Linked DNA regions of Drosophila melanogaster. The protein of the gene in region 1 interacts with the protein of each later gene in a biochemical or structural test. Each region holds a gene or a part of one and is shown on either strand. Other genes may lie near its edges.

Region 1 (7,885 bases):
GACAGAGGGCGGCATAACGACCAAATGGATCGTTTTAAGGAGCACAAGGACCGAGGACAGCGACAAGAGCATCGGGACTGGCGCAACGAGCGCAGAGATTGGTACCAGCATCATGATGACAGCCGGAAGAGAAGCCGCAGTCCGAGCAGGCATCGACATGGCGATAGGCGTCGGGAGGAGCGAGAGCCACGCGAGAAGCAGCACAATAGGCATCGCTCCCAAACCGCTCGTCATTAGAGCGGCATGTGATGGTGCCGCTTCCATTGGCAGCGAAACTGGTGGCCATTACATGGTGCTGTGGTCATTTGAGTCCAGCCGACTGTTTATTTGGGTACTCAGATAATGAACAAAGCAAAAAAAAAATCAGATAATTGTGGTCTATAATCCTGGCTAGCTGCGGGGAGCGTCTACTTGGTGGAGACGCGCGTGCGCTTGTTCCAGGCAAAGTTGATGCCGTAGTTCTTGACGCGCTCCTTCTTGGGCTTCGCGGCGCCGTCGACGTACCAGCGCCATCCGTTCCGTTCGCAGAACGTGATGGCCTCCTCTGGGGATCCGAACTGCACGTTCATGTTGGACAATGGGTCGCCGCTGGAACACGAGACGTTGACCAAGGTTGCCATGGCATGGTGGACGTGCCAGCTACTCACCTGGAGGCCCAGCCCATGAGCGGATTCTCCCAGCGCTCGCGGTTGTCGAACTCGATTTGCCAGGTGTTCACGTTATCGGTGCCGCTCTGCATTGCGTTCTTGGGCGGAATATGGATGCGCACACGGCGCTCCCGAATGTGCTCCTCCGGAACGCCGCTGATCGGGCTGAGATTGACGGCAGTCGGCACGGTGATCTTGCCACTCAGCTTGTTGCGCTGCTCCAGCTCTTCGGGGCGGGCCAGGGCCGTCTTGGGGTCCAGCGGACCGCCGTCCGTGGCGGTGGATGCCCAGCGGGCAGCGGCTGCCCTGTTGGCCTGGTACCTGCGGTGTCAAGATGCGAAAGTGGATAATTAGAGGGCTGCAGATTTGCCAGGTCGGATGCACTTGCTCCGGCCAGGCGGGGGTACCTACAGCTGCAGGGAGGCGGTGCTTCTGCACATCACTTGGCGGAGGGCCGACATTTCGCTAGGCGTTTGGGGCTACACGGCAGAAATCGGCTTCAAAATACGAATTACGTAAAATTTGGAACACAAGCGCTTTTCGATTGGGAAAACAGCTGTTCGCCAGTGCCAGTGTGACCAGGCGAGCGGTGAGTGTTTTTATTCTAATTGGAAACAGTGTGGCCCCTCGCCTTGGATGCGATGCCACAATAGTTCAAAAACAGTTTTCTTCTTTTTCACTTCGAACTTCGCAAAAACTATGAAATGCTGTTCAAGTGGTAAAATGAACTTTAAAATGAAAATGAATGAAATGAAATACACTGATGATGAACTAGAGAAGTAACTAGAACTAAAACTATGCTATTTGTAAGCCAACTGTTTAAATGATGAGCATTGCATTTGCCCAGTGCTGCCAGATATGTAGGTGTTCTTAGCTCCTTTTAGCTTAATTTCACCATTAGCTGATTATTGGCAAAGGAGCCCGTTTCGCTTATCGATTCTAATATCGATTTGAATCGGTCAGGGTCCTTATTCTTTCAGTTATTCATCGAACTGCGGAATGCCGCCGGCCCTACCACATGGCAATAGCGAAACGTTGTGGCAACGCCTCGCCTACTTGCAACTTTTGTGTCAATCAATACATGTTGAAAACAGATAAAGACACAAATTTTTCAGTTCATCTAAATTGCCACTGATCCAGGCAGAACAGCACGGCGGCAGAACAGTCCCATCCAGAACAGCGACATGGGCGTTCCCAAGTTCTTTCGCTACATCAGCGAGCGATATCCGTGCCTCAGCGAATTGGCGCGGGAGCACTGCGTAAGTAAAGCTGCTAGGTCACGTTATATGTTGCCATGCACCGTACGGTTCCTTTGCAGATACCCGAGTTCGACAATCTGTACTTGGACATGAACGGCATTGTCCACAACTGCTCGCATCCGGACGACAACAACATACACTTTCACCTGGAGGAGGAGCAGATATTCCAGGAAATCTTCAACTACGTAGACAAGCTGTTCTACCTGATCAAGCCGCAGCGCCTCTTCTTCCTTTCAGTTGACGGGGTGGCTCCACGGGCCAAGATGAACCAGCAGCGCAGCCGGCGATTCCGGACGGCGCGCGAGGCGGAGCAGCAGGAGGCCAAGGCGGCCCAGCGAGGCGAGTTGCGAGAGCACGAGCGCTTCGACAGCAACTGCATTACGCCGGGCACCGAATTCATGGTGCGTCTGCAGGAGGGACTGCGCGCCTTTCTCAAAACGAAGATTTCGACGGATCCGCTGTGGCAGCGTTGCACCGTAATCCTAAGTGGCCAGGAGGCGCCCGGCGAGGGCGAGCACAAGATCATGGACTACATTCGGTACATGAAGACGCAGCCGGACTATGATCCCAATACACGACACTGCCTTTACGGCCTGGACGCCGATCTGATCATTCTGGGCCTCTGCACCCACGAGCTGCACTTCGTGGTGCTGCGCGAGGAGGTCAAGTTCGGGCGCAACGTCAAGCGCACCTCGGTGGAGGAGACGCGCTTCTTCCTGCTGCACCTGGGTCTGCTGCGCGAGTACCTCGAGCTGGAGTTCGACGCCCTGAGAACAGACGAGCACAAATTGGACATTGCGCAGCTTATCGACGACTGGGTGCTGATGGGCTTTTTGGTCGGCAACGACTTCATTCCCCACCTGCCGTGCCTGCACATTTCATCAAATGCACTGCCGCTGCTCTACCGCACCTACATCGGCATTTACCCGACCCTCGGCGGCAACATCAACGAGAACGGCAAGCTCAACCTGCGCCGCTTGCAGATTTTCATATCGGCCCTCACCGAGGTGGAGCTGGATCACTTCAAGGAGCACGCCGACGACTTGAAGTACATGAACAACAAATCAGAGGCGTTCGACATGGACGTCGGCGAGATCACCGAGTCTCAAAACCTCGACTCCGATCTCGGAGCCCTCATCAACAAGAGCATGCTGGTATGAACTCTCTGCACTGACCGCCATCCCGTCATTTCCGTCCGCTCAATGCCGCCTTCCCATCCACAGCTCTACGATGACGACAGCGAGGAGGACTGCTCCGACGAGAACGCGGTTCTTCTGAAGGAGTTCCAGAACTACAAGCGAAACTTCTACCGCAACAAGTTCAAGCGTGATCCGAATGATGAACTGATCGAGGAACTGTGCCACCACTACGTCAATGCGCTGCAGTGGGTGCTCGACTACTACTACCGTGGCGTGCAGTCCTGGGACTGGTACTATCCCTTCCACTACACTCCATTCATCAGCGACCTCAAGAACATCGAGCAGGTGGAGATCGCCTTCCACATGGGCACGCCCTTTCTGCCATTCCAGCAGGTGAGCTGAGCACATTTAGTTAGCACCGATAACTTTCCTAGCATCAGGCTTACCATTTCTTAAACATAAACCAGAGCCACCAATTTAGACTATCATTTGCGTATCTCCTTTCTAACATATATCTATCTCCCTCTAATCCAATGGTGGTGCTAGATCATTTGGTTAAAGCAATCTTCTCAACCAAATTATCCATGTATCCATATATCTGCACACATACTAGATTTACTTAAGCCATCTGTCCAATCTTTCATATAAAGCTTCTGGCGGTACTGCCGGCGGCCAGTGCAAAGCTTCTCCCTGTCGCCTACCACGACCTCATGCTGCTGCCGACCAGCCCGCTGGCCGAGTTCTATCCACTGGAGTTCGAGAGCGACCTCAATGGCAAGAAACACGATTGGGAGGCGGTTGTGCTGATACCCTTCATCGATGAGGGTCGGCTGCTGGCCGCTATGCTGCCATGCGAGGCTCAGCTGTCGCTGGAGGAGCGCGAACGCAACCGACACGGTCCCATGTATGTGTACAAATACAGTACGGTGGCGCAGGGTCCCATGCCAGCGTATCCACCGCTGAGGGCTCTTCCCGTGCTCTACTGCACGGAGGTGGCCAAGTGGTCGCACGAAATCGCAGTCAATCTGCCGTACAGCGTGTGCATCGAGCTACCAAATGCGGCGAGAACCGTTTTCTTCCCGGGATTTCCCACCATGCAGCATCTGCCCTTCGATGTGAGTGACGCCGGGACACATGCATAACGCTCGCCATGTCCGCCATGTCTAATATGCTTGCTATTCTTTTCCAGTTCGAGCTGCGCAACGACCGCGTCAAGGTGTTCGAACAGGTCAGTCGCAACCAGAACATTGTGCTAAAACCACGCAAGCGCCAGCTGGAGGACACACTGACGGCGGTGGCCTCCCAGTACCTCGGGAAGGTGATCCACGTCGGCTGGCCGCATCTCGTCAAGGCGATAGTGGTGCGCGTGGCCACGCGAGATCAGCGCGTCGACAGCGAGGGAATCACGCTAAACGATTCGCGGCGTTTCGACTCGGAATGCAAGGCACTGCAGGAACAGTTGAGTGTGAAGCCGCCGTCTGGCCCTGCATTCACACTGCTAATGCTCCATCTTCCCTTTCCTCCTTCTCCTCCCACGACAGCTTTATCAATCGTATGGGAATACAGTTTGCCAACTATGATGTGCTCGTCTATGTGCGCACCTTTGCCGGCAATTCGACGGAGTTCCGCGACAAGGGGGCATTGATGGTGCGCGACTCGTGGAGCAGCTCCGTCACCGGCTATCCAGCCCAGGGCGTGGTGGCCGATCTGACTGTGTGGGAAAGAATGCGCAAGAATTTCCTCAACGTGGAGCACTACTTCCCCGTTGGCAGCACGATCTTCTTGATCACGGATCCGTATTACGGCAGCGAGGGAACTGTGCAGGACCCACGGCTGGCCTACACCAACGGCCGGATTCAAGGTAAGTTCGTCTCGCCATGTCCTTGACACCCCATCATCATTTCATCTCTGCAGTCAGCATCATGGTGCGACCGGAACCGAAAGTAAATGCGGCACGTCAGCTGCAGGAAGAGCGGGACCGGGACTATCTGAGCACCTTCCAGGTCTGCAACTTGCTCCGAATCAGTGGCCGCACCCTGGGACGCCTAAGTGGCACCGTGTGGGTGGTGCTCGGTCCGCGGCGTCAGAAGATGGAAAACGTGACCAAGCACAACATTGGCCTGCAGCTCAAGTATCCGCGGCAGAACGAGGAGCGTGCCGGATACTGCTTCCGCACGAACAACCAGTGGTACTACTCCAGCCTGGCCGTGGATCTGATGCGCAACTATTGCCAGCGTTACCCAGACGTTATCGACTTCTTTGGCGACTCCAACGATCGCGCCGAGTTCGTATTCGAACAGGACGTGTTCCCCAATGCGGTTGGCCATCGCCGCGTCGAGGAACTGGCCAACTGGGTGCGCCAGCAGCCGCACATGAAAGTGGAGCGCATCTCTTGCGGCTCCAAGACGGTCTGCCGCGAGACCATCGAACTGCTGATAGCCGCCGTCGACGACCTGCGCTCACTGCCCGTCAAGCACGTTAAACTGCAGGTGAAGCCGCACTTGCTCATCAAGCCCAATGTCACACTGCCAGATGTCTACCGATCAAAGCGCCCGGTGCGTCTCTTCGATCGCGTCGTAATCGTACGCACCATTTACATGGTGCCCGTGGGCACTAAGGGCACCGTGATTGGCATTCATCCCGTTACGGACCCCAACCCGGTCCGCCTGGAGTGCGTCCATGCTGTCGACACGTTCTGCAAGGTGCTGTTCGACAGCCCCGTTCCGAACTGCAACAACATCCATGGCATCGCCGAAGACCGAGTTTACAAGGTGCCCGAAATTGCCCTGGTGATCATCAAGACGGATGGTAAGTGGATTTGGCTGCATAGCCTACAGAATCGGAGGAGGCACATACATAGCAATGCTCCCACTTCCTCTCCTTGCAGAGGAAGGAAAGAAGCAGAACGACTGCGAACTGCCGGTGAGGGATCCTCAGCCGAACCAGGCACAGGACGAGCCAGTCCGCGCGACCAGCAGTCGCTATGTGACCGCCGCAGGGTCCACCTCGGTCCCGATCACGATGAAGACCCAAATTAGCGACGAATTCGTCAAGACGCGTAGCGATCCGATAGCCCGTACGGATTCGTACAAGCCATCGTCGGAGCCAAAACCGGTGCCGGTGCCGGAGCAGATTACCAACTGGCGGGAACGCGTCAGTACGCCAACAAACAAACCGCAGCCTGCGCCAAATAATTGGCGCATAAATCGGTCTTCATCACGTCAACAGGGCGGTAGTATTTTTGTTGCTCCGCCCACAAAAACTCCTGATGCAGCTGCAAGCACTGCTTCCACTGCATTCACCGCAGCCTCGTCCGCAACGCTGACTCCTCTGGATCAGACCTTGGCGCTCATGTCGGTTTTGGGCGTGGGTGAGGACCAGAGCTCGCCGCCACTCCAGGAGGCGGTGCAGCAGCAACGTCCGCCACTACTTCAACAGCAAAGAGCTCCGTTTCCCGGACAAATGCCCGTAACTGCTTTCAGCCCAGATGTGCCACCCAACCATGTGTTCACATAACTACTTTTCATTGCAGAATCTACCCAAGCCACCGCTCTTCTGGCAGCAAGAGGCGCAGAAGCAGGAGGCGCTGCAGCAGGAGGCGCAGCAGCAGGAGGCGCAGAAGAAGCAGCAGCAGGCGCATGCGCAAATGGAGCCTGAACGTATCAATAGCCAGCATTTCTACAGAAGCGGCCAGACAGGAGCGGCGTTGAATCAGCCGCCATTGGGTGCTCCATCAAAAAGGCAGTGGCATGAGTGGGTGCACCCGCGCATGCAGCACGCCAACGCATTCCACGCTGGCGTCAACAATGGATATCAGATGCGTCCCAAAAAGAATATAGCTGCGCAGAGCACCTTTAACAACAACGTGCACATGCACCTCCAGCAACCATATTACCCGAATCAGCAGCAGCAGCAGCAGCAGCAGCAGCCACTCCAGCTGACGGAGATCAACAATGCGCCACCGCGATACTCAACGATCCAAGATTTTGTGCCCATACAGGCGTACCGTCCCAAGAAATTAAATCGCGTCCAACCAGCCGGTCGTCAGGACGTCGATGCCACCAAGAATCCTAGTCGTTCGCCTGTGTTGCAGCAACCGACGAACGAGACTATAGACACAAAGGCCAGTTCTAGTCTTCCGGTACAATCAGCAGGCGAACAGGTGATTGGACTGATGCAAACGCTTGAAATTAAGGTAAGCATTGGCTACAAGTCAAAGCCTTGATTACCGAACTAATGCTTTCCTCTCGGCCGACAGCAGCCGGCTGCGTCGCAGTCCGAATCTGATGGGGTCTCAACAGGCAGTGCGAACGCGCCCACAGCAACGACATCATCCCAGGTAATGGAGGAGATAGAGATAGTTATTCTGCATAATTTACTCATTCCATTTACTCGCTTCTGTTGCAGGCGGTCAACCGAAGGAAGCATCGAGTGCCTCGCATCGGAGCCAAGTTCGACTTGGAATACATACTGCCCGACTCCCCGCATCCAACTTAAGAGCGAACAAATGGGTATTTTTAGGTTCAAATCCCACCTAGCTGAAGAAATGCAACGCTATTTGGATCTTATATCACCTTATTTCTATCTCTCCTAGTCTGTGCGAGGCACTAGAATTGCCGCACACGATAGATCATTTTTTTTTTAGAGTTGCGGATTATGTGAATACTAAAATGAGACTGACTCGTCTTTATATTTTTTCAATAAACTGGACTTTACCCATATTTTGTTGTTACTCGATAGAATGCCAAGCTGCATTGTGTAAATTAGCTTTTAAGAAGGATCTGTCCTATAAGACGTATTTTGTTTTGAATAAAGCTGTCAGTGCCACGCAATCTGTGGC
Region 2 (3,819 bases), on another chromosome or scaffold:
TTTCCCCTCCTTGATAGCCCGAGTTCAGGAACGAGATTGACAGCACCTATGAGAGCTCCACGGAGCCGAGCAAGCAGTACAGCTCGCTGGCTTTGATCAACCCCACGATCGCCACCACCGGCGACTACAAGTGCGTGGTGCAGACCTCGCTGAACACCTTCTCCAGCCACCAGAGGGTTCAGGTCATAGACCTGAGGAACTACACCCTGGAGCTGTCCCACAAGACGATCCACAATGAGACGCAGCTGAACTGCACCGTGACGAACGTGTATCCCAGGCCCACCATCACGATAATGTAAGGACGAGCGCCTGCCTTGTCGTAAGACAGCCTTGTAGTAAACAACGTCCCAACTCAACTCCGCTCCTATTACAGATCCAACGACATGGACGTGGTGAAGCGGGAGCCCATGGTGTACGAGAACGAGGAGGGATACTTCGATGGCAGCGCCGTGGTGGCGGCCTACGACACCGACGACGATCCCGATGCCTACCAGTGCGTGGTGTCCTTCGAGGGATACGGCAAGAACCTGACCACGGTGGCCACGTCCGCGGCGGCGGGCAGGAGCCACGTCGACTTCAGCCTGTGGCTGTTTTGTTTTCTGTACTACCTGCTCTGCAAGCTGAAGGTATTGGCCTAAATAAAAGCGTTGTTATTTATTGTTACTAAATTAATGTTTATTGAATTCTGTTTGCCATTCAACTACCTTTTCTACGCCCCTTCGGCCTAGTTAACCATTTTGTAAATAAATACGAATACTTCACAAAACCAACTACGTTAGTTAACTCTTAAGGTTGCTCTGGAAATGGATGCCGTCCTTCTCCGGCGGGGCTTCTAGATTTTAAATCTACGACTGCCCTTGTCGGCTTACAGCTATTACATTTTGTAAATTAACTCGGCTTGAACTCGAACTCCATGCGAACAAATGAAAATATGGGCTGCAATTCGGAAATGTTGAATATTTCTGTTTATTGATATGTGGAGCTGGAGTCCAGCAGTAGATTGGAACAGCCGTTCAGGTAGGCCTTGTGCAGCTTGTTGGCAAACTCCTTATCGTTCTGGATAAGGTACGTGAAGGCCTGGACGAACTGCGTCGAGTTCAGCAGTGGCTGCTGTGGCTGCTGTGGCTGCTGTGGCTCCGGATTGCCGTTGTTGGGCGCGTCGAACATGGTGGGCGGCATGAGGGCCGGCCCGGGCTTGTCGCCAGCCAGCAGTCTCCGCAAGCACTTGCCGGCATCGTCGTTGGCCATCAGCGCCGACGAGGACGGGGCGACTGTCGGAGATTGAGCCGTAGCGTAGCTTTTACCGATCTTCAGGTCGCTCAGGAGCTGAATGTTAAGCTGCTGCATCTTCTGGAAGGGCGACAGCCGGCTCTCGTGATTGTCCCTGCCTGCCGGGGGCAACAGATCCTCGCCAGGCGTGGCTGCCCGCTGCTGTTTCTCCAGCTGGTCCACGGAGAGCGGCTGGACGCGGTGGAACAGTGACTCTGCCGTGGCCTGCTTGGCCGATTCGAAGAACTTCAACACATTGCCGGCCGTTACGTTCTCCGCCGAAGGCGTCTTCGGCTGCCCGCCGCTCACCTGGGCATTGTAGTCCTTCTGGGCCTTGGTCAGCATGTTGAATATGCTGGCCGGCTGGCTGCTGTCCTGCTTTGGCTGCTGGGGCGCGGAGACGTGACGCTGGGCCTGGCCATTCGTTCCCTGATCCTTGGACTTGAGCAGCCCGTTCACCAAGCCGCTGATGCGGTCGCACTCCTCGCTGTTGTAGAACCAGAAGCCGCGGATGCGCGAGCGCTCGTTGCGGTAGAGCAGGAACGGCGGCTGCGACTGCAGCTCCAGGCTGCCGGTGATGGGCTCCACGAAGGACGTGGTGTTCAGTCGGTTGTTGATGAAGATGCTGTGAAAGGGCTCCGCGTTGCGGTGGTATATGAAGAAGGCTCCCTCCACATCGGTCTTTTCCCACTCGTTCTGCGACGAGTTGAACGTGTAGAAGGCGACGTGCGAGGACGAATCCACGATCTCCTTGGCGTACGGGTCGATCTTCTTGATGGCCGCCAGGTTCATTCGCGTGATGCTCTCGTCGGCCATTGTAAATTGTATGTAATCTTCAGTTTTGGCTGTGCTATTGCGAATTGCAATTATTTGTGAATTTAACGGCGCTCTGGTCACACTGCCCCGTGGATGTTTTCCCGTGTTTATCAACGACTGTGCTGCGGTCACACCGAATGACAATAAACTCTTCCTTTTGTCTATTAATGATTTGTTTGAGAAATATTAAGTCGATTGACTTGCATATAAAAATGGCCACAATTGTACGTAATAATATTTCTCAATTATGTAGCATAAACATTTAATTTATGTTTACTAATAAAATTTTCAACTTCGATAGCATTTCCATTTCAATATATCGATACTGAAGACCAGCTCTAGAAACTGGCGGGAACTAATTGCATTGCAATTTGTATTTATTTGAACACAGAATTGCCACAAAATGCAAAAGTCTATAACGTAATTTACGATTTAACAAATGCTAAGTATTGCCAATCTAACAATCCCCCGTTTCAGCTCCTTCTTCAAGAAGAAATCCGATGCCACCGACAGCCCCTCGCCGCCCAAGAAAGTTCCTAAGTAAATGGTGCCGCTGTTTTCTTGTTTCATTACTAAATTCCTCGACAAATCATAGGATTGATGCGAAGACCGAACTCCCAGATGAACCCCACATCAAGAGCGAAAGTGCCTCCCCGGAAACTAAGCCCAAGGTAGAACCTATGTCTGTGGATTCCGAGGAGAAGACAAGTCCGGTGAAAAATGTTAAGAAGGAACCAAAGGAAGTCGATGACAAGACCACTGACAAGAAGGTCACAACCATAGGTCTCAACTCCACTGCCGCTACTAAGGAGGATGTGGAAAACTACGATCCATCCGCCGACTCCTATCATCCGCTCAAGAATGCCTACTGGAAGGACAAAAAGGTGTAAGTAGTGCAGGATTTTGAGCCTCCAAGGCGAATTATATCAAAGGAAACACTTTCCAGCACTCCCTACTTGGCACTGGCCCGCACATTTCAAGTAATCGAGGAGACCAAAGGCCGGCTCAAGATGATCGACACGCTGAGCAACTTCTTCTGCTCTGTGATGCTGGTCAGTCCGGAGGATCTTGTGCCCAGCGTCTACCTCAGCATCAACCAACTGGCGCCCGCCTACGAGGGACTGGAGCTGGGCGTTGCCGAGACCACCTTGATGAAGGCCATTTGCAAGGCAACGGGGCGTAATTTGGCTCACATTAAATCGCAGACGCAGCTAACCGGGGATCTGGGCATCGTGGCCGAGCAGTCGCGCGTTTCACAGCGCATGATGTTCCAGCCAGCGCCTCTGAATGTGAGGGATGTGTTCCGGAAGCTACGCGAAATAGCCAAGCTATCCGGTCAGTCGAAAATGGACCTGGTGTACAATATGTTTGTGGCCTGTCGATCGTCGGAGGCTCGCTTCTTTATCCGTTCATTGATTGGCAAGCTAAGAATTGGCATTGCAGAGCAGAGTTTGCTCACAGCGCTGGCCATTGGTTTGGTGAAAAAGAACCACATCGATGATTGCAAGGCTAGCAAGGTGCCGGATGTGTATAAGGATGAAATAGTCGACACCACTTTGCTGTTGAAAACTGCATACTGGTAAGAACTAACTTAAGAACCAGCTAATAATTCAGATGCTAACGAACTTTTGCAGTCAGTGTCCCAACTACGATATCATTATACCGGCCATTCTAAAGTACGATATTAAGGAGCTGCAGGAACGCTGCCCCATGCATCCCGGCATGCCGCTGAGG

What was found.
Region 2: the proteins of pcm (region 1) and DCP1 form a complex in vitro, tested with the Drosophila melanogaster proteins (one study listed by BioGRID).

Annotation. Positions count from the first base shown.
Region 1 is NC_004354.4:19,485,760-19,493,644, reverse strand, and holds the start of pcm (pacman), read left to right. Parts: upstream 1-1,633; 5' UTR 1,634-1,831; coding exon 1,832-1,906; intron 1,907-1,965; coding exon 1,966-3,060; intron 3,061-3,129; coding exon 3,130-3,438; intron 3,439-3,695; coding exon 3,696-4,160; intron 4,161-4,234; coding exon 4,235-4,503; intron 4,504-4,586; coding exon 4,587-4,906; intron 4,907-4,959; coding exon 4,960-5,853; intron 5,854-5,932; coding exon 5,933-6,513; intron 6,514-6,577; coding exon 6,578-7,240; intron 7,241-7,303; coding exon 7,304-7,384; intron 7,385-7,452; coding exon 7,453-7,542; 3' UTR 7,543-7,885. Other genes in the region: CG12204 (uncharacterized protein), read left to right, coding at 1-237; ND-18 (NADH dehydrogenase (ubiquinone) 18 kDa subunit), read right to left, coding at 408-588, 648-968, 1,059-1,108.
Region 2 is NT_033778.4:23,888,108-23,891,926, forward strand, and holds DCP1 (decapping protein 1), read right to left. Parts: upstream 2,170-3,819; 5' UTR 2,086-2,169; coding exon 967-2,085; 3' UTR 657-966; downstream 1-656. Other genes in the region: CG5597 (uncharacterized protein), read left to right, coding at 18-295, 374-638; DNAlig1 (DNA ligase 1), read left to right, coding at 2,489-2,505, 2,563-2,625, 2,681-2,971, 3,032-3,664, 3,720-3,819.